Macaca fascicularis: one gene and its partners. The protein of the gene in region 1 purifies or fractionates together with the protein of each later gene. This does not show direct contact. Links are inferred from orthologs where the notes say so. Each region holds a gene or a part of one and is shown on either strand. Other genes may lie near its edges.

The links.
Region 2: the proteins of PRKACB (region 1) and AKAP5 purify together in Homo sapiens (affinity purification with mass spectrometry; 4 studies listed by BioGRID and IntAct, counting the BioPlex papers as one, with this or other methods). This does not show direct contact. The link is inferred for Macaca fascicularis from reciprocal best matches to the Homo sapiens genes PRKACB and AKAP5.
Region 3: the proteins of PRKACB (region 1) and AKAP1 purify together in Homo sapiens (affinity purification with mass spectrometry; 4 studies listed by BioGRID and IntAct, counting the BioPlex papers as one, with this or other methods). This does not show direct contact. The link is inferred for Macaca fascicularis from reciprocal best matches to the Homo sapiens genes PRKACB and AKAP1.
Region 4: the proteins of PRKACB (region 1) and AKAP11 purify together in Homo sapiens (affinity purification with mass spectrometry; 5 studies listed by BioGRID and IntAct, counting the BioPlex papers as one, with this or other methods). This does not show direct contact. The link is inferred for Macaca fascicularis from reciprocal best matches to the Homo sapiens genes PRKACB and AKAP11.

The regions. Positions count from the first base shown.
Region 1 is NC_088375.1:150,452,627-150,458,872, forward strand, and holds part of PRKACB (cAMP-dependent protein kinase catalytic subunit beta), read right to left. Parts: intron 5,323-6,246; exon of another isoform or gene 5,289-5,322; coding exon of another isoform or gene 5,220-5,288; intron 4,749-5,219; coding exon 4,620-4,748; intron 2,922-4,619; coding exon 2,823-2,921; intron 1,844-2,822; coding exon 1,761-1,843; intron 1-1,760. UniProt on the Homo sapiens protein: Mediates cAMP-dependent signaling triggered by receptor binding to GPCRs.
Region 2 is NC_088381.1:132,283,365-132,288,851, forward strand, and holds the end of AKAP5 (A-kinase anchor protein 5), read left to right. Parts: intron 1-1,642; 5' UTR 1,643-1,905; coding exon 1,906-3,189; 3' UTR 3,190-3,950; downstream 3,951-5,487. UniProt on the Homo sapiens protein: Multivalent scaffold protein that anchors the cAMP-dependent protein kinase/PKA to cytoskeletal and/or organelle-associated proteins, targeting the signal carried by cAMP to specific intracellular effectors.
Region 3 is NC_088390.1:49,609,487-49,615,732, forward strand, and holds part of AKAP1 (A-kinase anchor protein 1, mitochondrial), read right to left. Parts: intron 4,834-6,246; 5' UTR 4,810-4,833; coding exon 3,081-4,809; intron 2,301-3,080; exon of another isoform or gene 2,199-2,300; intron 242-2,198; coding exon 108-241; intron 1-107.
Region 4 is NC_088391.1:21,591,751-21,597,996, forward strand, and holds part of AKAP11 (A-kinase anchor protein 11), read left to right. Parts: coding exon 1-3,613; intron 3,614-6,246. UniProt on the Homo sapiens protein: Binds to type II regulatory subunits of protein kinase A and anchors/targets them.

The DNA.
Region 1 (6,246 bases):
TAAGCTTTGTTCTTAGTGCCTATCTAATCTTTGTAAAGGCAGCCGTCCCAACAGAATAACATTAACCCAACACTTAAAGATGATTGCTAATACCTATGGAAGTGAAAAGAAGGAATTCGATGCTGGACTCCAGACAAAAATCTACTTTGAGAAAAATTTTCCTTCTGGACTCTTGGTTACTTGAATGTGGCCCAGGTCCCTACATAGAACCCCACAATACCTTCTCTCATATGTGTGACAGAGACAACTAGAACAAGTCCATCCCAGAACCAAGGAATAATTAAGCCTAACTTCAAGATGGTTGATAAGCAATGCTTTCAGAGAAAGATCTTGATCAAAAGGGAAAAATGTGAAAGCTGATTACACAAATTAGTCATTCTCATCATACCCAAATAAATCAGAGTTGAGGGGCCAGGGGAATAAAGCACTCAGGGCACACAACACCTGCTCCAAGAATTAAGGCCAGGTGTGGTAGCTCACACCTGTAATCCCAGCACTTTGGGAGGCCAAGGAGGGTGGATCACTTGAGATCAGGAGTTCAAGACCAGCCTGGCCAACATGGTGAAACCCTGTCTCTATCAAAAATATGAAAATTAGCCGGATGTGGTGGCGGGCACCTCTAGTTCCAGCTACTCGGGTGACTGTGGTAAGAGAATCACTGGAACCCAGGAGGCAAAGGTTGCAGTAAGTCAAAATGGCACCACTGTACTCCAGCCTGGGCAACAGAGGGAGACTGTCTCAGAAAAAAAAAAAAAAAAAGAATTAAATTTTCCACAAGCCTAGCTGCTGAAACTGCCCATTGTAACCTGAAACCAGTTTTCTCTAACAGCTACTGAGACAATCTACTGCAATTCTTAGCCGAGTTTGACCCCCCACCGTCACTCACCAATCAGAGCTTGCCAGCTCCCCAAAACTTAACTAGTGCTAGTAAACTTTGTTTCCAAACAAATAAATATAAAATTTATTTTTATAAAACCTCCAACCTTTTCTTTGTTTTGTAGACACATTGAAGACCACCTAGTCTGTGTATATGCCTCAAACTGCAATTCTTGCTTCCTCAATAAAATGTTGAATTTAGAGATTTGTCTCTACATTTTTGACTTCAACATACTATACTGAATGAAGTTGTATCTGTTTTTTATTTTAGCTTTATTCTATTAGTGATTATTAATGAATAGTAGAAGCTTACAAACTATTACGTACAGGCAAAACTATCAGATTCTATAACCTATTTTAATAACTGTGAGATCTTATTAGTCATAACCTGATGAGGTACAAACTCCTGTTAAATTATGTATGTATTTTAAAAACTAAACTTTGCAAGAACTTTAAGGAGAATTAAATTTGTGAAAAACAAACTTTTATAATCTTATTACCATAATACCATTATTATTATTTCTCTATATATTTATTTTCCATCTTCATCCTTAAAACAATCCTCTGTCCTAGAGTTGTATTAATATTTGTTTAATAAATGTTGATATTTTAAAATTCAATTAATTTTTGCATTTTCTGAAAACTATTCAAGTAGTGGACCCTCACAATATCTACCAATAGTATAACATTTAAATTGGCTTCGAAGTCCTTTTATTTGAATTTTAAAACTTGTGTATGATGTGGCCTCTTTGTTTCCACCTAATGCTTCAAATGGCCAAAATATTAATCAAACAAAATAAGTTTTTGATATTGGCATCAACTTAAAAATCTGGTTAAACAACACAAGCCTATAAAGATTTGAAGAAGACAAAAGCATTAGTTACCTGAACCTTCCAATTCTTCTTAGATGTGAAAACATTTCACCCCCAGGCACATATTCCATAACCATGTATAAATTAGAATTATCCTATGAACAAATAAAAAGGAAATACAATTATTCAACTTAGGTCAAAATTATTTCAATATTATACCATGTTGAATTAGAAAAATTTAACATCTTTCTGACAGATTAATAACTTTGAGAAATAAAGAATAAATGGAACATGCTCTAGTTTTTCTATACAGAGACACTCATATTTTTCCCCTCCTAGTTATTTTTGCCACAAATTAGTCTGGGACTTTTGCTCTTCCTTTTCTTGCAGAGAACATCTAGTTCTTGAACAATTAAACACTCAGGCAAAGAAATAATGCTATAATATATGCAAAAGAATAACAAAGTTAAAAAACAATTTGAAAAAGTAAGAATATTTACACTTTATGTATAAAAGATTAATGGTTTTAATATTTTAAATACATAGGTCTTAATTTAATTTAAAGAATAAAGGAGAAAAAAGATTAAAATGTTTCATATGATTAAATATTGCAGAAAGATGCCAGTATCATTCCGAAGAGCTGAAAAGTGGCCAATTTAAATAATAACTCTTATACAATTTTTCAGACACTTAAATAATGGAACAAAAATTATTCAGCTTTGTATAAGTAAAAAGACTAGAACTCAAATTACTAAGTAAAAGAAGATGAGATACTGGCAAAAAGGGCTTAATAAAAGTAGAAAATGTGTTGGGTATATGAATTTGCATAAGAATTGTTTAATAAGATATCCCTATGGTTTTTGATAAATTGGAGTAATTCTTTTTGTAATACCATCTCATGAAGAATTGCATGTATCACCTTTGAACAATTTCTCCAGGGAGAATCAAAACCTTTTCAAATGTTACCTAAGTTATAAGCACAATAGGATTTAATTACACAAACTCGAGAGGTATTTGTTTTGTTTATTTATATTTTTTAGGTTTATCATCTGGTTTAGAATCCTATTTATAGTTTCATCTTAAAAAAAGCATATTAGGTTGAAAGTATCTTATTTAGATATTACTAAAATTTACCTTAAAAGCATACTCCAGTCGAACAAGGAAAGGAAAATTCACTGCCTGTAATATTCTTTTCTCATTCAAAGTATGCTCTATTTGCTTCAGTTTAACAACCTGTAATTGAGAGATAAATATTTCTTTTATGTATTTAAGCAAAATCAAAAAGTTATCACTTAAAAAATGTAATAAACTTGGATAAGGAAAATTGTTAGAATTGGATAAGGAAGAGAATAACAATTACCAACTATTAGGTTGGTGCTTAAGTAATTGTGGTTTTTGCCATTACTTTTAATAACAGGATTCAAATAAAAACCTAAGAGAGGATTTAAAACTTGGTCTTAGGAAGATCAACTACAGTTTCAATTAAGAAGTGAGAGCTAAGTAGGAATAAGAAACAAACCCATAAGAAATTACTTTAAAAATTAGTTATGTCAATTATACTTAAATAAACATATATCTATATAATTACTTAAAGTAATTTAAAAATTAATGTGAAAATACTAACGTCCTAATCACTCAAAGTCCTCTGTAAAAGCTGGCTCAAATCTCTGCAATAACTAGATACTGACTTTAAATACTTCAGAAGATGAATAAGAAAATTAAGAATGAAGAGAAAGCCCATAATTGAAAAATAGTGAGTAAAAATGAACAATTTTCATTTTATAATATCTAAATAAATATAGGTATAAATTCTAAAAGTTTATTTTATATCGCTATAGAAGAGGATGCACAAAATATTGGGGAAAAAACTACCTTTTTAACAAAAACTATCTTTGTATCCTAGGTCATTCAGACTTAGGCTTCCTCTAGATTTTCTATTCAATAGAAGGGGAAAGTAATTTATCTTGACTTCACGAAGATTGTAATTCTATTCCATATGTGATTCTATTTTGAATTTTAAAAGTGGTGACCTTAGCAAGACATATAAATAATTTTCTTTTATATGTGTAAATCATTAGAAGGTGGCATACTTTCTTGCCAGAGTCTAATGGTCAATGTGAGGACAGTCACAGATGTCAAGAAGTTAAACATAAATAAGAAAAGTAATTAAAGATAGCAGCCAGGTATTAATATATAAAATTAGGAGTATACTGATAATACTGAGCAAAAAAATTGAGTAGGAGTCAATCTGTGTTTTAATCTAGGCCTTCTATTTAACTAACTTTCTGACTCTGGAGATGCTTTCAAATCTTTGGGCTTCAGGTTTTCAAAATCTGTAACATGAAGTGGTTTGGTCACTACTGTACACATTTTAACTTCTGTAATAGTTAGAAAACAAATTAGTCCATAATTGTCACAATAAATTACAGTTGTCCATCAGTATCCCTGGGGGTTGGTTCCAGGACCTACAGCAGAAACCAAAATGCCCAGGTGCTCAAATCCCTTATATAAAATGACAGAGGCTTTGCATAAAACCTATACACACTCTCCAGATACTTTAAATCATCTCTAGATTACTTATAATACCTGATATATTTTAAATTCTATGTAAAGGGTTGTTACACTGTATTGTTTACGGAAAAATAACAAGAAACAAAAGTCTGTACATGTTAGGTATAGATGTAATTTTTTTCCCAAATATCTTCAATCTGTGATTGGTTAAATCCATGGATGTGGAACCCATGGATATGGAAAGGCTGAATGTATATTAACTATGCATCATATAGTTACAAAAAATAGGAATAAAAATTAAATTTAATAATATAATTATTTGAAGGTGTCAATGGTAAGTCATTATACTGAATCTGTTTAATAGTCTGGCTGATAAAACTAAAGTTTACCCTGAAAGTAAATAACAACAAATACACTCACCTTCTGCTTATCTAAGATCTTCATGGCATAATACTGTTCAGTAGCTTTGTGTTTTACCAACATGACTCTTCCAAATGAACCTGTTCCAAGGGTTTTTTTCCTTTCAAAATCTTCAAGTCCGGCATTATTCTATATGTAAATACATAAATAAAACTTAAAATTCTCATAAAAACACTATGGGAATTATAAATGCTTTAATAATACATAATCATAATGGATAATCCCATTTATAACTATCCATTTAAAAGCAATACAAAAAGGCTATTGAGATTCCAGTTTATCGATTCTATTTTTCCCTTTGAACAAGAAGGGATTTAATATCTGAGGACAGAATGTATTGGAAAACAGAGCATAATAGTAATAGGAGGAAATAAGAGCCTCAGCTGAAATATTAAGGATTATATTCCAATATGCATTTCTAGTATTGGACTTTAATCTTAGTACTGAACTTCCGATAAATGAGTTTCATATTTTAATAATTACAAACTGACCAGAGGCATACTGACAAAGAGTCATAGAAGCCATACAGACTTAATGCACTTGCAAATAACTGTAATGAATAGATAAACTGAGGGATCAGAGCTCTTTCACTAAAGTTACCTGTGAAGAAATCAGTCTTGCTTCATTTCTGTCTTTATATAAGCTTATAGAACAAGATAATAGCAGCATGAGAGAGCCTAGTGGCTTTCTCTCTTTATGTTATAAAACCACAGCATTATCTAAAACAATAACAATAAGGAAAGAAGAATTCCTCATTCTACAAAGAACCAAAAGCCAGCATCCCAGAACAATAATCAGACTCTTTTTTTCTTGAATAGATGTTTTGTTATAAGGAAACATCTTTGTTTGGCTTTGACTACAGAGCAGAAGCAAATAATTGGAGGCATCAATCTATTAAATTTGTTCCTGCCACAACAAAATGAAAATTATTAGGAACAAATTATGTGTTAAATAGCAACAAGTAGTAATTGCTAACCCTTTTGTTTAATAGGTTTCATTGCAAAGAACTCCATGAAAATATCAGAAAAATATTCTGAAGGCCCAGTATATAGTGTTTAGCTTGAGAAAAATGTGATGCAATATGATTCTTTATCCAGTGAGGAATCTGTATAGGTATTACAGTTCACTGTAGTTGGATTTTATCTGTATTTCAAATCAAACCTTGCCTTTTGAGACCCATTTTAGCTTCCTGTTGGATCATTACAGAGAGCAGGCAATTCTGTTTCACTTATAACTTGTTTTCATCATATTTTGATTTTGCAGCTTAAAATTTAAAATAATTTCAAGTAGTTATAAGATTTTTTTATCAACACAAAAAGCCCTTCTAATTCTGACTGAATTAATATTTAAGTTTAGGTTTTATCAACATAGGTGGATTAAAATGTTCACCATAGTCCCAACCAAATAATGAAAACAAATTTTATTAACAGACAACAGAATATGTGTTTCTGCTCTTTATGCTTTTTTCATTGCTTTTATTTGTATTATAAAAATACGTTATCTTCCTTACCTCTCTTATTGTTTCATGTTATACAATGTCTAATACTTTGTAATCACAATGTTTAATCTTTGTGGCTATGTTTTAACTTATAGGTCATACTCTAAATCTTGGTAGTAATGGCATCTT
Region 2 (5,487 bases), on another chromosome or scaffold:
TTAGGGCATCCACCCACTAAAATTCATAGGATCTTTGTTAGATAATCACTTCCCATTTCCATTCTTTGGTGCCATCATACCATTCTGAGGATTAAATTTTCAATACACCTTTGTATTATCTAACAGTTTGCCAATTGCATAGTTTATCAACCTATTTTTGGCTGTTAAATTAGTTCCTGAACCGAAAAAGCAAAATATAAAGAATTTCTTTTTTTTTTTTTTTTTGAGACTGAGTCTGGCTCTGTCGCCCAGGCTGGAGTGCAGTGGCCGGATCTCAGCTCACTGCAAGCTCCGCCTCCCGGGTTTACGCCATTCTCCTGCCTCAGCCTCCGGAGTAGCTGGGACCACAGGCGCCTGCCACCTCGCCCGGCTAGTTTTTTGTATTTTTTAGTAGAGACGGGGTTTCACCGTGTTAGCCAGGATGGTCTCGATCTCCTGACCTTGTGATCCGCCCGTCTCAGCCTCCCAAAGTGCTGGGATTACAGGCTTGAGCCACCGTGCCCGGCTTAAAGAATTTCAAAAGCTTGGTTTTCAAATAACAAGAACTCAGACTACTCTTGGTTCAATTATGAGTTGATAAGTACCTTGTGATTAAATGACCATTAATCAATTTTTAAATTTTTTTACTAATGAATATACTGCAGATTAGTATCCCCAAACAATCCATTTTCTGATGAAACTCTTAAAGCCCAGTTTCAGAACATAAGCTTTAAGCAACAAGCAATCTTTTGTTTAATCTGAGCTCTGTTACAGCTCTGCCTTAATCTCAGCCAAATTGCTTCATCTGTAGATGGTGATACCACCATCTTTGTAATACTGTGGTGAGGATTACAGATGTATGTAAAAGTGTGTGCACCGCCTAATACCCAAGAATTGCTCAATAAATGTCAGCTATTGTTACTCTTACTGACCTCCAACTATGTGCAGATTATGGTGGAAACATGTGATACAGCAAATACAGTACTTAAATGAAAATGTCAAAATTATACAACTAATTTAAGAGTGGGAAATGACAGTAATGCTAAATTTTCCTAAGAATATGTATGAAAAGTAGCACTTCCTTGATGGAACATACATTTTTAGAACAGAAACCTTATGTTATAATGGAAAAACTAGAGAGTCAAAGTCTCTAGTTCTAACTCTGGCTATGACCTTATCTAGCTGCATGGCTTTTAACAAGACAATTGCTCCCCTCTGGAGTTCAGTTTTGTCATCTGGCTGGATTTGAGTAATCTCAAATAATCTCTAAAGTCCTTTGCAGCTTTAAAATTATTTATTGAGTGTGATAAAAAATACATTAGCTTGTTTTTCATCCTGCACTTCATTTTTTGTTCTTCCTGTTATTTGCTTAATTTGCACTTTAGAGCCATAAGCAATTCACACAGACAACACAACTAAAGAACTAATAATATCAGACTTGCAGGGTAATCCAAAATGAAGTTTCAACAAAGAGGATAAAACAATAGAATCACATTGAACTCTTTAATAGGGCCAAAGTAAACCCCAACGTTTATTCTCCAGTCATTTCATTATTATATGGAAAATATGCCTGGTAGAATCTTATACATTCAGCTGAAATAGTCTCCATAGAAAATAATAGGCTCATAGTGAAATAAAATACCACTTTCTTTTCTCTCATCAGGTTGATCTTTAAATAAAGCAAAAATTTATTCAAGAAAGGGCTTTCATCAAGAAATTAAAGAGAGAAATTACAAGCAATAGAGAAACTGGGCATTTCTATACTAGAGAAACCACCTAAAACAACTGTATGGAGTAAGATGAAAGGTAAGAATATGCCTGGATGAAATTTTACCTAGTGTGACATTTTTGCCCATCTTTTTGTCACAAAAGGCTGCTAAGGAAGAGAGAATATAGTTTTCTAGAGAATAAGAGTACAGTGTAAAAATGGAAACCACAGTTTCAGAAATTCATGTAGAAAACAAGGATGAGAAGAGATCAGCAGAAGGTAGTCCTGGGGCTGAAAGACAGAAGGAAAAGGCATCCATGCTTTGCTTCAAGAGAAGAAAGAAAGCAGCTAAAGCACTGAAGCCCAAAGTTGGCTCTGAAGCTGCTGATGTGGCAAGGAAGTGTCCCCAAGAAGCAGGAGCTTCTGATCAGCCAGAGCCCCCACAGGGGGCCTGGGCCTCACTCAAACGTCTTGTAACACGCAGGAAAAGGTCAGAGTCTTCAAAGCAGCAAAAGTTATTGGAGGCTGAAGTGCAACCTGCAATAAACACTGAGGATGCTGATCTTTCTAAGAAAAAGGCAAAATCTAGACTTAAGATTCCCTGCATAAAATTCCCAAGAGGGCCAAAAAGGAGTAATCATTCCAAAATTATAGAAGACTCAGACTGCAGCATCAAAGTCCAGGAAGAAGCTGAAATTTTGGATATACAAACACAGACCCCATTGAATGATCAGGCAACAAAGGCTAAGTCAACCCAGGATCTAAGTGAAGGCATCTCACGGAAAGATGGTGATGAAGTCTGTGAATCAAATGTGAGCAATAGCATAACTTCTGGAGAGAAAGTGATTTCAGTAGAACTTGGATTAGATGATGGGCATTCTGCTATTCAAACGGGAACTCTAATCCTTGAAGAAATTGAAACGGTCAAGGAAAAACAAGATGTTCAACCCCAGCAAGCAGGCCCACTTGAAACTTCAGAAACAGACCATCAGCAAATAGTACTTTCTGATGTTCCACCTTTACCTGCAATCCCAGCTCAACAAATTATGGAAGAAGCCAGTAACAATATCCTAAAAAGTGCACCAAATGGGAAAGACTATGAAAGTAGAGAGATTGTAGCTGAAGAAACTAAGCCAAAAGATACTGAATTGAGCCAAGAATCAGATTTTAAAGAAAATGGGATCACTGAAGAGAAGTCCAAATTAGAAGAAAGCAAACGAATAGAGCCCATTGCTATTATTATTACAGACACTGAAATCAGTGAATTTGATGTTAAGAAATCAAAAAATGTCCCTAAGCAATTCTTAATTTCAACTGAAAATGAGCAAGTAGGGGTTTTTGCTAATGATAATGGTTTTGAGGATAGAACTTCAGAACAATATGAAACACTCTTAATTGAAACAGCCTCTTCTCTTGTCAAGAATGCTATTCAGTTGTCAGTAGAACAGCTGGTTAATGAAATGGCCTCTGATGATAATAAAATAAACAATCTTCTACAGTGACTTACTCTCCAGAGTCATGGCAGGAAAAACAAGCTTAATGAAGAATTATTTTATACATTTGTGGCATTTCTTACTCAGTAACAAATGAGAGATTTATCATCTCTAGAACTTAAAAGGTACAATTCCAGCGCAGAAGTGCTAAAGATTAAGTCAAGTTTATAAAACTCTACCACTGAAATGCAGTCACTTCTGGATTGGAGGAAGTCAGCACAGATTGCAGTATAAAGTGACATAACATACAGGGAGTTGCTAAAACGGCATATGGAGATTGGAGTGCTTTGGGGGAGGAAGATGTATTTATTGAGCACTTATGGTATGCCATAAGCTTTTTAATGACCTCTGATATAACAAAGTCTGGTTTCCTTTTGATAATTCAGCTGTGTATAGGCTAACATCACATTGAGTTTTTAAAAACTTATTTTTACAGTGCACATATATGTTGTTTAAAATGGTGAATAAGGTGAGCTACTTTTGTGAATGTGATTTGTAATTGTTACATTCCTAAGCAGTAGGCTTAACTCAAAAAATACATTGCATTTTCCCAATTTCAGCAGATAGTGTGCAGAATACGCATATTGAAATTAAACGTGAGTGGTTTTCTAGTCTTAAGTCCCTTATAAGAGCTATTTGGCCGGGTGTGGTGGCTCACACCTATAATCCCAGCACTTTGGAGGCCAAGGAGGGTGGATCAGCTAAGATCAGGAGTTTGAGACCAGCCTGGCCAATGTGGTGAAACCCCGTCTCTACTGAAAATACAAAAATTAGCTGGGCGTGGTGGCGTGCGCCTGTAATCCCAGCTACTTGGGAGGCTGAGGCAGGGGAATTGCTTGAACCCGAAAGGTGGAGGTTGCAGTGAGCCAAAATTGCACCACTGCACTCCAGTCTGGGCACCAGAGCAAGACTCCATCTCAAAAAAGAAAAAAAAAAAAAGGAGAACCATTCACAAATCCTTCAATCAGGCAAACTGTTACTAAGTGCAAAAGTGTAGAAACAAGGAGTGGGTTTTCCCTCTCTTCTTTCTGCCTCAACAGATCTGTATATATCCATTTCTGCATGGATTTATCTGTGAAAAGTTAAAAAACGAAACAGCAAAAACAAAACAAGTGGAATATTATTCTTCATCCAGAAGAAGGGAAAATTCCCAATTAAATTATCATAGATAATATAGGATTCATCTTGCAGAATTACTTCTTTAAGAGCCATATTCATCAACCTCTCTCCAAAGAGGCGAGAGTAGATTCAAAGCCAGGCTGGTAGTAATGGTCCTGGAAAATCCTAATAATCTAGTGCAAATATTATTTATTTTTGGCCAAAAATGAGCCATGAATGTGGGTGAATAGAAAGTGAAAAGTTAAAGCACATTATAATTTAAATGTCAATATTACTTCCTGTCTGTGTGTTGAGAGAAACCAGTAAAAATCATTTTACATGGATATTGACAATTAACTTTTTCATCACTATTTTCCTTTCTTTTCTTTTTTTGAGACGGCGTCTTGCTGTCACCCAGGCTGGAGTGCAGTGGCGCGATCTCGGCTCACTGCAAGCTCCACCTTCTGGGTTCATGACATTCTCCTGCCTCAGCCTCCCAAGTAGCTGGGACTACAGGCGCCTACTACCACGCTAGGCTAATTTTTTGTATTTTTAGTAGAGACGGGGTTTCACCCTGTTAACCAGGATGGTCTCGATCTCCTGACCTCGTGATCCTCCCGCCTCGGCCTCCCAAAGTGCTGGGATTACAGGCGTGAGCCACTGCACCCGGCCTTCATCACTATTTTCAATCCAGATATACTTTACAAAAATGAGAAAGGCTTATTTGCATTTTTATTTACATATTGAAAGGGAAGCATCTGATCTCATCAATGATTGCCATATTTTTTGAAAAAGTAATCCTATTTCAATCTTTCCTTGTGTGAAATGGCCATAATACCACAATGCACTTCCCTACCTCACAGGTTAGGATTCAAAGTGTGTATTCCCCCATTGTGTAAATTGAGTGATTATGTTACTACTTGAAACAGATGAAGTAATAAAGATGAAGTACGAGATGTAAGGTATTTGTTCAAGAGCTCCATGTGGAGGAAAGAATGCAAATTAGATGATTTTAAATGATCTGGGTGAATTCTTGCATTGTGTATGGATTGCATATAGAAAGTATTTGCAGGCCGGGCGCGGTGGCTCAAGCCTGTAATCCCAGCACTTTGGGAGGCCGAGGCGGGTGGATCACGAGGTCAGGAGATCGAGACTATCCTGGCTAACATGGTGAAACCCCGTCTCTACTAAAAATACAAAAAACTAGCC
Region 3 (6,246 bases), on another chromosome or scaffold:
TCTGGTTTACTGTCCCTCTCCCAGCTCCCTCCCCCAGGTCTAACGGCCCTGGCCCCAGGGAGCTTTGCGGGTTACCATGGAACCAGCCTGGGGGACTCCACCCCTACCTTTGGCACCTCGATCTCCCAGATGATGAGGTCGACCTTCTTAGGGTTGGAGCCTGCCTGGGCATTTTGGAAGCTCTCAGTCTTCTTGAGACTGCAACAGCTATCCACGGAATCCATGCTGTTCCTGTCAGAACCTGCAGGGGAGGAAGCAGCAGGCGCGCGCACACACAGACCCCAGCTCAGAGCAGCCAGTAACCCAGAACTTCCCAAACTCACATTCCCGGGAGGCCCTGCCCCACACCCGCTCCTCAAGCTTGGCAGGTGACTGTCAACTTACAGTCTAGAAGGCTCAGAACAACCCCAATGAAAGGAGGACTGGGGGTGTCGATACACCTAATTTTAGCCTGCCACTTACAGTCCCACTTGCTTAATTGGGAGCCGCACCCAGCCACAGCTGCTGGAGCAGACACACAAGTGGTGAACTGGGAAGGGACAGACTGCGCCCAGGGAAGGGGAGCCCACAGGGCAGAGGAGGAGACATGATTGAGGTCCACATGGTCCTGAGAGCCAGACCGATGGACTGCAAACACCTTGACACCCTTCCAACTATCCTACCCTCTCAGTCCAAGGGTCGGTCTCCTGTCCCCAGGGCCCAGTTCCAGGGTCACAGGTACAGGCCTTCAGCCAAGCAGAGCTAGACAAAGTCCTCATTGGCCTGCCTGAGGGCCCCATTCTTATACCCAGCGGGGACCTGCTCGTTCCTCTGCCATATGTGGACAAAAAAAGGAGAGTCTCCTTTCCCTTTGCTTAGGCCTGATTCGTGCAACTCTGAACACTCTTCTGGCTCAAATACTCCCTTGGTCAAAAGACGGAGCCAAAGCTCATGGCCAAGAAAACCCAATGGGAAAAGGACTCTGCTCCCGACCTGGGCTGTTTCACTCTCGCTCAAGAGTGTGCCAAAGGGACTGTCACAAAAAAGAGGGTCCAGATCAGCTCAAGAGAAGTGGCCCTGGCTTAAATATGGATGACTCAATCACCAGAAAGAGATCACTCCTGAGAGTCTACCAACTAGGTTACCTTCCACATGGTTTCTCCAAACCCTGGGCATAATCCTTTGCCAAGTAACCCATACACTGGATGCAGAGAACTAAGGCCCAAGAGATCCTGCTCCCAGCTAAGGAAGAATCACCTTCAAAGTGACATCCCCCCTTAACCTAGGCGCTTGGAACAGGATTCATGCAGGGAAAAGTACCCCTTCTAGGGGAAGACTGCTTGGCTAGGGAAGCATAACAGGCTGACAGGGGTTGGGGAAGGGGGCGGGGAGCTCTGCTCACTCACAGCCCCCAGCCTCTGTCCCACAGAATGGGACTGGCTAACACCTGCCATCTCGATGGCGCCCAGCAGTGGCTCAGAACCACACCAGGACTCTAGCAGGCTGCACTCCAAGGCCAGCTGCCAGCTCCCTCAGTAGGGTGGTCCCTGGACCCCTCTCAGCTTCAACTTTCTCACACACAAAGCAGAGCTGACATGAGGGTGCATGCGAGGCACTACCCTGGTGCTTGGCACCCACTGCATGCTCGTGGACAGTATTACCTCATTTCCACCCGCCATCTCTAAACCTCCCTGCCCATCACCATGGCTTAGGTTCAAGCCTAAACTCAACAGGTCTGAGTAGCTACTACTATCCATCTAGAGTAGGCAGACAAGGCTGTGGGGCTTGTTAATTCAGCCGAGGGGCAGTAAGCAAAGGGAAACTCCTTTATTCTTAAAAAATAAATAAAACAAAAAACACCCATTTTAAGATGCAATATTTTAAGAAACATTTAAACATCCAGAGATTAGGATGCATCATATAGTATCTGGCCTTCTATAATCATGACTGGCAGCACTTTTGTCCTTCCAAGGTACATAAAAACAGTAGTGTCGCAACAGCATCTTGGAGGTGACAAAACGTAGTGTGTGGTACAAACGAGATGCTGCCGAAAGTAGTAAAATTCCCGATCAAGATTCCCAACCTTCCTGGAGCTGAAATGGGAGGGAATGGCTCCAGGACAAACGTCAGAGAGGCACTGGGATACTCGTGGCCTCTCTCCATGAGATAAATGAAAACACCCCGGGGCGGCTGCAGAAGCAGGGTCAGGAGCTGCTGACCTGTAAGTTAGCGGTCTGAACTGTCTACGCTGGGGTCAGCACTCGAAAAACCCAGGACACCTCGTTATCAAAGTGCCCCGCTTTCCCGGGGTGGAGCTGCAACTGCACAGAAAGAAAATGGCTGAGGCTCTCTGCAAAGGTGACAGCGACAACTCAGGAAGCTCGAGCCTCCCACAAGTATTTAAAGCTGTGGCCATTCTTTGGGCACTTACCCTGTAAGAGCTTCTGGAGAAGGAAAGCAGGTGAAGACATGGGAACAAGCACATGATTAAAAGGAAATAAACCATTCAAAACACTCACACCCATACTTGGCACTCAAGGGAGGGAAAGCTAAGGAGACCTCTCCATTAAAACACACACACACACACACACACACACACACACACACACACACACAGAGGTTAGTGTTTAAAAAAGAAAAAAATGGGCTGGGCATGGTGGCTCACACCTATAATCCTAGCCCTCTGGGAGGCCGAGGGCGGAAGGATCACTTGAGCCCAGGAGTGCGAGACCAGCCTGGGCAACACAGGAAGACTCCATCTGCACCCAAATAATAATTTTTTTAAAAAAAGAAAAAAAGGCACACTAATGTTAATCAGTGAGCCCAACTTGGAGCTGGTTCCTTGGGAAGGGCTCACTGGGGAAGGTCACCGGCTGAGGAACCAAGTGACAGCTCCCAAGGCTTGGGGTTTCAGGGCAATCTAACTGCTCAGTTACCCACCAGCTTTATGCCGTGTCCAGCTCTCTGCAGGTTGGGACAAAGAGCTGAAGGGCACCATGACTTTGCTGCACAAGTAGCAGAAGGGAGAGGCAGACTGGCGGCCTTTCTCCAAGAAATACTGGGAGCGCCCCATCCTCTAAATGAACCCGAGACCCTCCTACCTCCTGAATGATCTGCTTCCACATCCATGGTCCATCCATCCTCAGCCCCCAAGTCTGACAACTCCCCCTTCAGTACCCCATTGCTGAAGGGCACAGTACTTTCTGGCAGTGGCGGCGTGATGGCCTTGTCTCTAGGGCTTGAGCTGGTCTCTGTGCAAGAGTCTTCAAGCCCTGAAGTGCTGAGAGAATCCGAGCAGTGTCCTGGGGAAGCCACCAAAGGGACACTTTGGCTGCTGTCTGACATGCAAGTGACACATGTGGCATCTTCCACCAGGATGCCCGCCCGGTCCGGCGACTCTTCACCAGGAGTGGTCGGTGGCAGGCAGGGGGTCAAGGAGATGTGGTGTGCAGAGATCTTTGGTTTACTGTCCTTGATGGGGCTGGACAGAGGGCTGTTCAGGCAGCTCACGTAGGTCTTTGGTGGTGCTGAGCCCTCTGCTGGTAGGCCTGGCGAGGGGAGGGCAGCATCCGACAGGGCAGCAGCTGCCTCTGCTGTGGCAGGTTCCCCAGTGTCGGAGCCCAAGACAGTTTGCTGGTGAACTGGGACACAGCTCTCTTCCTCCTGCCCTTGGAGCTGACTGGCCTGATACACACAACCTGTAACCTTGCCCACCGCGGTGGCCAGCACCTGTTCGGTTGCTTCCGAGATCACTTGGGAGATTATCTGGAAGGCAGCCTGCTCAATCTCCTCATTTCTATCCAAGCCCTCCCCATTTCTATCCAAGCCCTCCTCATTTCTATCCAGACCCTCCTCATTTCTATCCAAGCTCTCCTCATTTCTATCCAAGTTCTCCTCATTTCTATCCAAGCTCTCCTCATTGCCCAGTTCTCCCTCGACATCTCTGTCCTGGGCTTTGGCATCTGTGATTGGGGGTGCTGGTGCCGCATCGTCCTTTGGCAGCTCTGTGTGAGCCGACTTGATGAACCTACTTGGCAACTTCTCTGCTACATACTCTTCCTCCTGCACCGGCCCCACCTGGGATGAGCTGCTCTTCCCCTTCTCTTCTTCCCCTTCTAAAGAGGCTAGGTTGGGGGCCTTGCTGTTCTCCAATTCCAAGACATGCTCCTGAGACAATAGATCTTCTTCAAGCACCTTTTCCCCCAACACAGCATCACCGGTCCCTTCGGCCCCACCTGTCTCTCTTGCCCTCTCCCCAGAGCCATGCTTCTCTGGGGGCGCTGCAGGGTAGCCTGGCTGGCCCCTTCCTGGCACCCTACTGAACGGGGACTCTTGCTTACACACCTCAGCTGATTTGTGGGGGAATAGTACACCCTTTGGAGATGAAAGGGGGCACTCTAGAGGAATCAATTTGGTTTCACCACCTGTCAGGGCTAGCTCCAGCTTTGCACTGTTGTCTCTGCATGTTCCTGGTCGCAATCTCATGTCTATGGTATTAGGAAGACTGCCCGAGGACTCTGATCTTCGGCGAGGTGGGTGTGCCCGGAGCAATGCTGGTGGCTCTGCAGGCAGCTTGCTCATGGTGGACAGTTCCTTTTCTGGCGGCTCTGTGACGCTGGGGGGCATGGACACCACTTCGGGACAGACGTCTTCCATGGGAAGAGGTTCTTTGATGGCAGAGTCAGCCCTCAGCTGCACAGCACCAGCCTCCACCTGCTCATCATGGCTGCTGACGTGGCCTTTTTTACGAGAGAAAAACCACCACCAGCCGAGAAGTGCCAGCATCCCAGGCAATGCCAAGGGGAAGAGCGAACGGAACTGGATTGCCATCCTGCAGGCTTGAAGTAATTACACCTGGGGAGAGCAGGAGAGTGGGGAGGAAGAATGTCACAGAGCCAGGTAGGAAGATACTGGCAACTGCACATGCAAGACAGTCAACAGGGTAGGGCCGAAGCCATCTCCCCCACCTTCCCTGCCCTCCAAGAGGAGCACACTCTCAGCTTGTACCAGTCCACCCTCTGTGTGATCCACTGGGGGTCGGAGGCCAGGAAGAGGCATCTTCCCCTCCATGCTCCCCAACTCACACACCCTCTTGAAACAAACCAAGCATTCTGTTCTTTAACCCAAATTCCTCCCTCCATCACTTCATGATGCCAAAGTCTCCCTATGTTCCCCAAAGGGGCTGGCTCTGCTCAGTGTGGCTCAGCTCTCTAAACTCACAGAACATTTTTATCTATCAAGTGGCATCGGAGCATTTCAAACCCCCATGGAATCCACATGTACATGGGTTCCTCACATCTCCCCACAAAATGAGTCCATGAAATGGCACTTCATTACTCAGCAATTAGAGATGCTGAGAATGAAGGAGGAATAAAATTTCAAATGGCTAAGGAGATGCTCCAGGGTGAGGGACCAACACAGCAAACTGCAGCATGAAGGGCCAGGTCAGACTTGGAGGACTCAAGTACAGGCGGTCCCTGATCTTCCAAGGCTCAACTTAGAATTTTTCAACTTTACAATGGTGTGAAAGCAATACCCATTCAATGGAAACTATACTTCCAATTTTGGATTCTGATCTTTTCCTGGACTAGCGATATGTGATGCGCTACTCTCTCACGATGCTAGCTCCCAGTCATCCACTCTATCACAAGGGTGAACATCGGGCATCCAGAGTGGATCGTGCTGCTAGGTGATTTTGCCCAACTGTAGACTACTGTGAGTGTTCTCAGCTCGTGTAAAGTAGGCTAGGCTAAACTATGGTGTTCAGTAGGTTAGGTGCATTAGATGTGTTTATTTTTGATTTATGCTATTTTCAGCTTATAATGGGTCTACCAGGATGTAACTCCATTGTAAGCTGAGGAGCATCTGTACCCTCGTGGGGTCAGTGAGGGTGTCCCAGCGCCCCACTGCATAGTCTGGACTTTATCCTGTAGACAACAGAGAACCAGCATAGGTCTGCAAGGCACACACACCAAATTGTTTCTAGAAGGCAATTCTGGGAACAGGATGAAAAGTGCATCGAGGCTGGGCGTGGTGGCTCACGCCTGTAATCCCAGCACTTTGGGAGGCAGAGCTGGGCAGATCATCTGAGGTCAGGAGTCCGAGACTAGCCTGGGCAACACGGTGAAACCCTGTCTCTACTAAAAATACAAAAATTAGCTGGGCGTGGTGGCGAGCACCTGTAATCCCAGCTACTCAGGAGGCTGAGGCAGAAGAATCACTTGAACCCGGAGGCAGAGGTTGCAGTGAGCCAAGATCAAGACTCCA
Region 4 (6,246 bases), on another chromosome or scaffold:
TATCATGTGAAGTACTAGGCTCAGTTCTTCGTACTCAGCACACTAATGCCCTATCAAATATTATCAGTATTAAACATGGAGAAAATAAAACTGTAACTTTTAAGCATGGAAACCTTGATCAAAAAAATAAATCTAAAAATAAATCCTTAATGATTAAAGATAGCATTCAAAAATTTGCAGCAGATCTTGTGGAAAAAAGTTTTGGCAGTGCGTTTAAAGACTTACAGAAAGGAGTCTCTTCATGTACCAATGCGTTGTGCCACTTAGCCATCAAATTGACATCATCTGTTTTTCAGATGGCATTTAATGAGCTGAGAAGGCAGCGTGCATTTTCACTAAAAGAACGTGCCATTAGTGGCCTGGCTAACTTTTTGGTGAGTGAAGCTTTATCAAATGCCTTAAAAGATTTACAGTATGTAAAGAAGCAGATATTCACAAACACAGTTGCTAGATTTGCTGCAGATCTTGCTGAAGAGCTTGTTTTTGAAGGCATCATGGAAGTGTGTCAGTTTTCGTATCCTCAAACGCCTGCATCTCCACGGTGTGGGTCATTTCACTTTGAGGACGAAGTAGTGAAGTCATATGCAAAAGATTTGTCTGAATCTGTAATACAGGAAGCGTTCATTGAGCTATCACAAGTTGATGTGACCTTTACAACAAAGGCAGCAGTTAGTGTCTCTACGGATAATATCAAGTATGTGAGTGCAGAAAGTGTAGTGCCATCAACACAGGCTGTCACGTTTTCCCCTTCTTTTCACAATCAAGCAATTATGGTGACAAAACCAGTGCAGGAATATAAAAAGGAATACACAGTGCAGCAGGCCTTGTTTTGTACTTCTGGAATTGTTACTTCTATACCAGTGCCCTTGGCAGGAAGTGCCCTTCTCCCATATCATATTTCATCTACTGCATGTCAGGCAAAGGCTCATCTGTCATCTGATGATAGTAATTCAAGTGGTGATTCTACCCAAGTGCATATTGCCACAAAAAACAGAGAAGAAAAAGCAGCTTGTCTCAGAAATATTTGTTTACCTTCAGAACACAATCCAGGTAACGAGAATGATTTTAAACCAACTAATGATCTTGAAATGCAGAGTTCCTCAAAATTACCAAGTGATCCTGCAATTATTAGCAACTTTTCTGCAGCAATGGTGCATACGATAGTAAATGAAACTTTAGAGTCAATGACATCATTGGAAGTTACAAAAATGGTTGATGAATGTACAGATTATTTAACTAAATCAATAAAGGGGAAAACCCCTCCCTTTTCCCACTGTGGTCAGGCAGTGCTGCAATGCAGTGAAGCTAGTAGCAATAAGGACATGTTTGCTGACCAGTTACCTAAATCTATTATTAAACATTCCATAGATAAGAGCAAATCAATGATCCCAAATATAGATAAAAATGCAGTATACAAGGAAAGCTTGCCTGTTTCTGGAGAAGAATCACAGTTGACACCAGAAAAGTCTCCCAAATTTCCTGGCTCTCACTGCTCACTTTCAGCTGGAAAGGATTGTGTTCCAGAATGTAAAGTTTCTATGGTTCATGGATCCTCCCTAGAGACACTACCATCTTGTCCAGCTGTGACAGGTCAGAAATCTGACTTGAAGGAACCTGCTAAGGATCAACCACTGAAAAAGCATAACTTGAATAATACATCACTTGAGTCTTTGTCTTTTGGACAGGAAAACCCCTTTCCTCATTCACATACTTTCTCATCTACAGCACTTACCTGTGTAGATGGTTTGCACGTGGAAGATAAACAGAAAGTCAGAGACGGAAATGTAATACCTGATACTCCTCCATCAACTCCTCTAGTACCATCCCAGGCTAGTTCTGAATGGGATATCAAGAAATTAACAAAAAAGCTCAAAGGAGAATTAGCCAAAGAGTTTGCACCTGCTACACCACCTTCTACTCCACACAACTCATCTGTTGGTAGTTTGTCTGAGAATGAACAAAATAGTATAGAAAAAGAAGAGTTCATGTTGAAACTCATGCGATCTCTTTCTGAAGAAGTTGAGAGTAGTGAAAATGGAGAGCTCCCTGAAGTGGATGTGAAGTCAGAGCACTCAGGGAAGAAGGTTCAGTTTGCAGAAGCATTAGCTACACACATCCTTTCTCTTGCAACTGAAATGGCAGCTTCCCATTTAGATAATAAAATAATTCAAGAACCCAAGGTTAAAAGCCCTTGCTTAAATGTGCAAAGTCAAAGAAGTGTGTCACCTACTTTCTTAAACCCCTCAGATGAAAATTTGAAAACATTGTGCAGTTTTGCAGGTGATCTGGCAGCAGAAGTCATTACAGAAGCTGAGAAAATAGCAAAAGTTCGAAGTTGTATGCTTTTCAAGCAAAAGAAGAACAGATGTTATGCTGATGGTGATCAAGATTATAAAGTAGAAGAGAAGTTGGATATAGAGGCTGTAGCGCACCCAAGAGAAGTGGATCCGTTTATTCTTTCATTACCACCAAGTTCTTGTATGTCAGGTCTGACGTATAAGTATCCCAGCTGTGAAAGTGTGACAGACGAATATGCAGGTCACATTATTCAGATACTAAAACAAGAAGGTGGTAATATTGAGTTGATAATGGATCAGTATGCCAATAGACTTGCCTACCGATCTGTTAAATCAGGATTACAGGAAGCAGCTAAGACAACCAAAGTGCAGTGCAATTCAAGAATGTTCCCTGTGCCAAGTTCACAAGTGAAAACAAACGAACTGTTAATGTTTTCAAATAAAGAGCACCACCAAGAAGCAGACAAAAAAAGACAAAGTAAAAGAAATGAAGATTACTTTTGTAAAAATCAAACTTGCGAAAGGACCCTGGATCCATGTAGAAATGAGTGCTCTGAACTGTATAGTTTTTCAGCCTCTTTCGTTCACAGCATAACAAAAGATGCTAAAGAAGAGCTGACAGCCTCTCTAGTTGGCCTACCAAAATCCTCAACAGATTCTTGCTTGTTCGAAAAATCCGGATGTGAAGGAGATAAAGAGTGTCATGTTAAACCAGAATTGCCTAAGTCTCTTCAGCCTTCCTCGCAAAGTCACAGATTTTACCACAGCACTGGCAGTTTAAATGGATATGGTTGTGGAGACAATATTGTTCAAGCTGTAGAAGAGTATGCCAAAAAAGTAGTGGATGACACTCTAGAGCTAACTCTAGGATCTACAGTGTTACGAGTGTCTGAGACCACAAAATCAGCAGACAGGGTCACTTATGCAGAAAAGTTGTCACCTCTTACAGGTCAAGCTTGCAGATATTGTGACCTTAAAGAACTCCACAATTGCACTGGAAATTCATCTCAGAACTTTTTCAGACAGGGTTCTCTCGCCAGTAGTAAGCTAGCTTCTAATCCAAAATTTAGCAGCCACTATCAGAAATCTAGGATTTTTCATCTCAATGTCCCTCAGATTCATGTTAATCTTGATAAGAAGGCAGTGCTTGCTGAGAAGATAGTTGCTGAAGCCATTGAAAAAGCTGAGCAAGAGGTGAGCAGTGTCAGCCTGGCAGCCGACAGTGGGATCGGACAGGAGGGTGCCAGCTTTGCTGAAAGCCTTGCCACAGAAATCATGACAGCAGCTGTCACAAATGTTGGGCATGTTGTTAACAGGTAAGTTTCATATTTCCTTTGGTTGTTAATGATAAATGAAAAAGTTAAATGTGATCCTATATGTCTTAGGTCCTGCTCATAAAGGAATGATTATTTTTAACCCTACATAAACAAAAATTTTCCCTATTGCATTTATGTATTGTTTCACATCCTACACATGACTTTTATATATTTTGGTCCCCTGATCCCTTTTGAGGGAAGGTGTTATCCATTTACAGAGCTGGAAAATGAGAGTTGGAGAAAATAATCACCTTATCCAAGTTCATAGAGCTATGAAGTAGGTAAAGTTGAATTAAATAAATAGCTAGAGAATTTTATATAGTAGTCCCCCCTTATTCTCAATTTTGCTTTCCTCAATCTGAAAATATTAAATGGAAAATTCCAGAAATGAACGATTCATAAGTTTTAAGTTGCATGTTCTGAGTAGCATGATGAAATCTCACACCGTCTCGGGATGTGAATGACCCCTTTGTCCAGTTTATCCACACTGCATGTGCTGTTCACCTGTTAGTCACTTAGAAGGTATCTCAGTTATCAGATCCACAAACCTGGTATGTACAGGGCTTGATGCTATCTACAGTTTCAGACGTCCACTGGGTGTCTTAGATCATATCCCCCAGGGATAAGGGGGGACTATCCTATAGTAAATGTAGAATATTACCATATTAATTTACTATTCTGAGACTAAATTTTTGTATACCTTTCTTCATTCACAAGGGTAAGTTTTCTTATAAAGACCATGGTTTAATCAAACTGCTCTGAGGAAGAAAGCGAAAATTCTTTACATACTTATACCATTTCTCTTGATTAGTTCACAATCTAAGGGGACAGTTCTTTCTGGTAGTCCTACAGTGTCCTGTTTTCAGTAGTTATCTCTTGTGCTTAGTGATTCTTTTTTTTTTTTTTTTTTGAGATGGAGTCTCACACTGGTTGCCCAGGCTGGAGTGTAGTGGCACAATCTCAGCTCACTGCAACCTTTGCCTCCCAGGTTCAAGCGATTCTTGTGCCTCAGCCTCCCTAGTAGCTGAGATTACAGTCACCCACCACCACCACGCCCAGCTCATTTTTATATTTTTAGTAGAGACAGGGTTTCACCAAGTTGGCCAGGCTGGTCTCGAACTCCTGACCTCAGGTGATCTGCCCACTTCAGCTTCCCAAAGTGCTGGGATCACAGGCGTGAGCCACTGTTCCCAGCCATGCTCAGTGATTCTTTAATAACAACTTAGAGTTTTTCACTTTAAACCTTCTTTGTCCCTGAGAAGATATCAGGACCAACTTGTGTTATTAGTTGATAGGATGATATTTGTAAGTCCTGCTGGAAAGAGAAAATGCTTTAAGTTGAGGTGGAATTTAATTGAGTCACATGATATTCCAGATTTTTGAGTAGCTTCTGTCAAAGCCATGACATGATCTGCCTCTTTTCTTATCCATCTTAAAATAGGGAGATCCAGCTTGACCAGGATTCTTGAATCCAGTTGCTTCATAGCATCTACTTGAGATGAGAGATGCTGTAGGTTTCTGGTGAATTAGGAGAGGTCTCTATTTGCCCTAATCAGGCAGCCTTCTTTCTTTTTTTTTTTTTTTTTTTTTTTTTTTGAGACGGAGTCTCGCTCTGTCGCCCAGGCTGGAGTGCAGTGGCCGGATCTCAGCTCACTGCAAGCTCCGCCTCCCGGGTTTACGCCATTCTCCTGCCTCAGCCTCCCGAGTAGCTGGGACTACAGACGCCCACCACCTCGCCCGGCTAGTTTTTTGTATTTTTAGTAGAGACGGGGTTTCACCATATTAGCCAGGATGGTCTCGATCTCCTGACCTCGTGATCCGCCCGTCTCGGCCTCCCAAAGTGCTGGGATTACAGGCTTGAGCCACCGCGCCCGGCCTGGGCAGCCTTCTTTCTACTAGACCAGGGGTTGGCAAACTACAGTCTGTGGGCCAAATGTGGCCTACTGGTGGTTTTTGTATGGATTGCAAGCTACGAACAGATTTCATGTTTTTTTTTTTTTAAATGGTTGAAAAAAAATCAAATGATATTTTGTGACGTGGAAATTATATGAAATTCAAATTTCAGTATTTATAAATAAAGTTTTATTGGGACACAACCATGCTCATTCAATTACATATTTCTGTGGCTGCCTTTGTGCTATAATGGCAGAGTAGAGTAGTTGGGACAGAGGCTGTATGACCAGCAGTACCTATGTACTTCCTATCTGACCTGTATTAGTTCATTTTCACACTGCTATAAAGATACTCCCTGGGACTGAGTAATTTATAAACAAAGGAGGTTTAATTGACTCACAGTTCTGCATGACTGGGAAAACCTCGGGAGACTTACAGTCATGGCACAAGGCAAAGGGGAAGCAAGTACCTTCTTCACAAGGCAGCAGGAGAGAGAGGGGGGAGCTGCCAGACACTTAAAACCATCAGCTCTCATGAGAATTCCCTCACGGTCATGACAACAGCATGGAGGAGGCTGCCCTCCTGATCCAATCACCTCCCACCAGGTCCCTCCCTGGGGGTTACAATTTGAGATGCGATTTGCGTGGGGACACAGAGCCAAACCATATCATGCCCCTTATAGAAAACAGTTGTGAACCTCTGTCCTAGATCCACATTTTCTTGTTCACTACATACCAGTT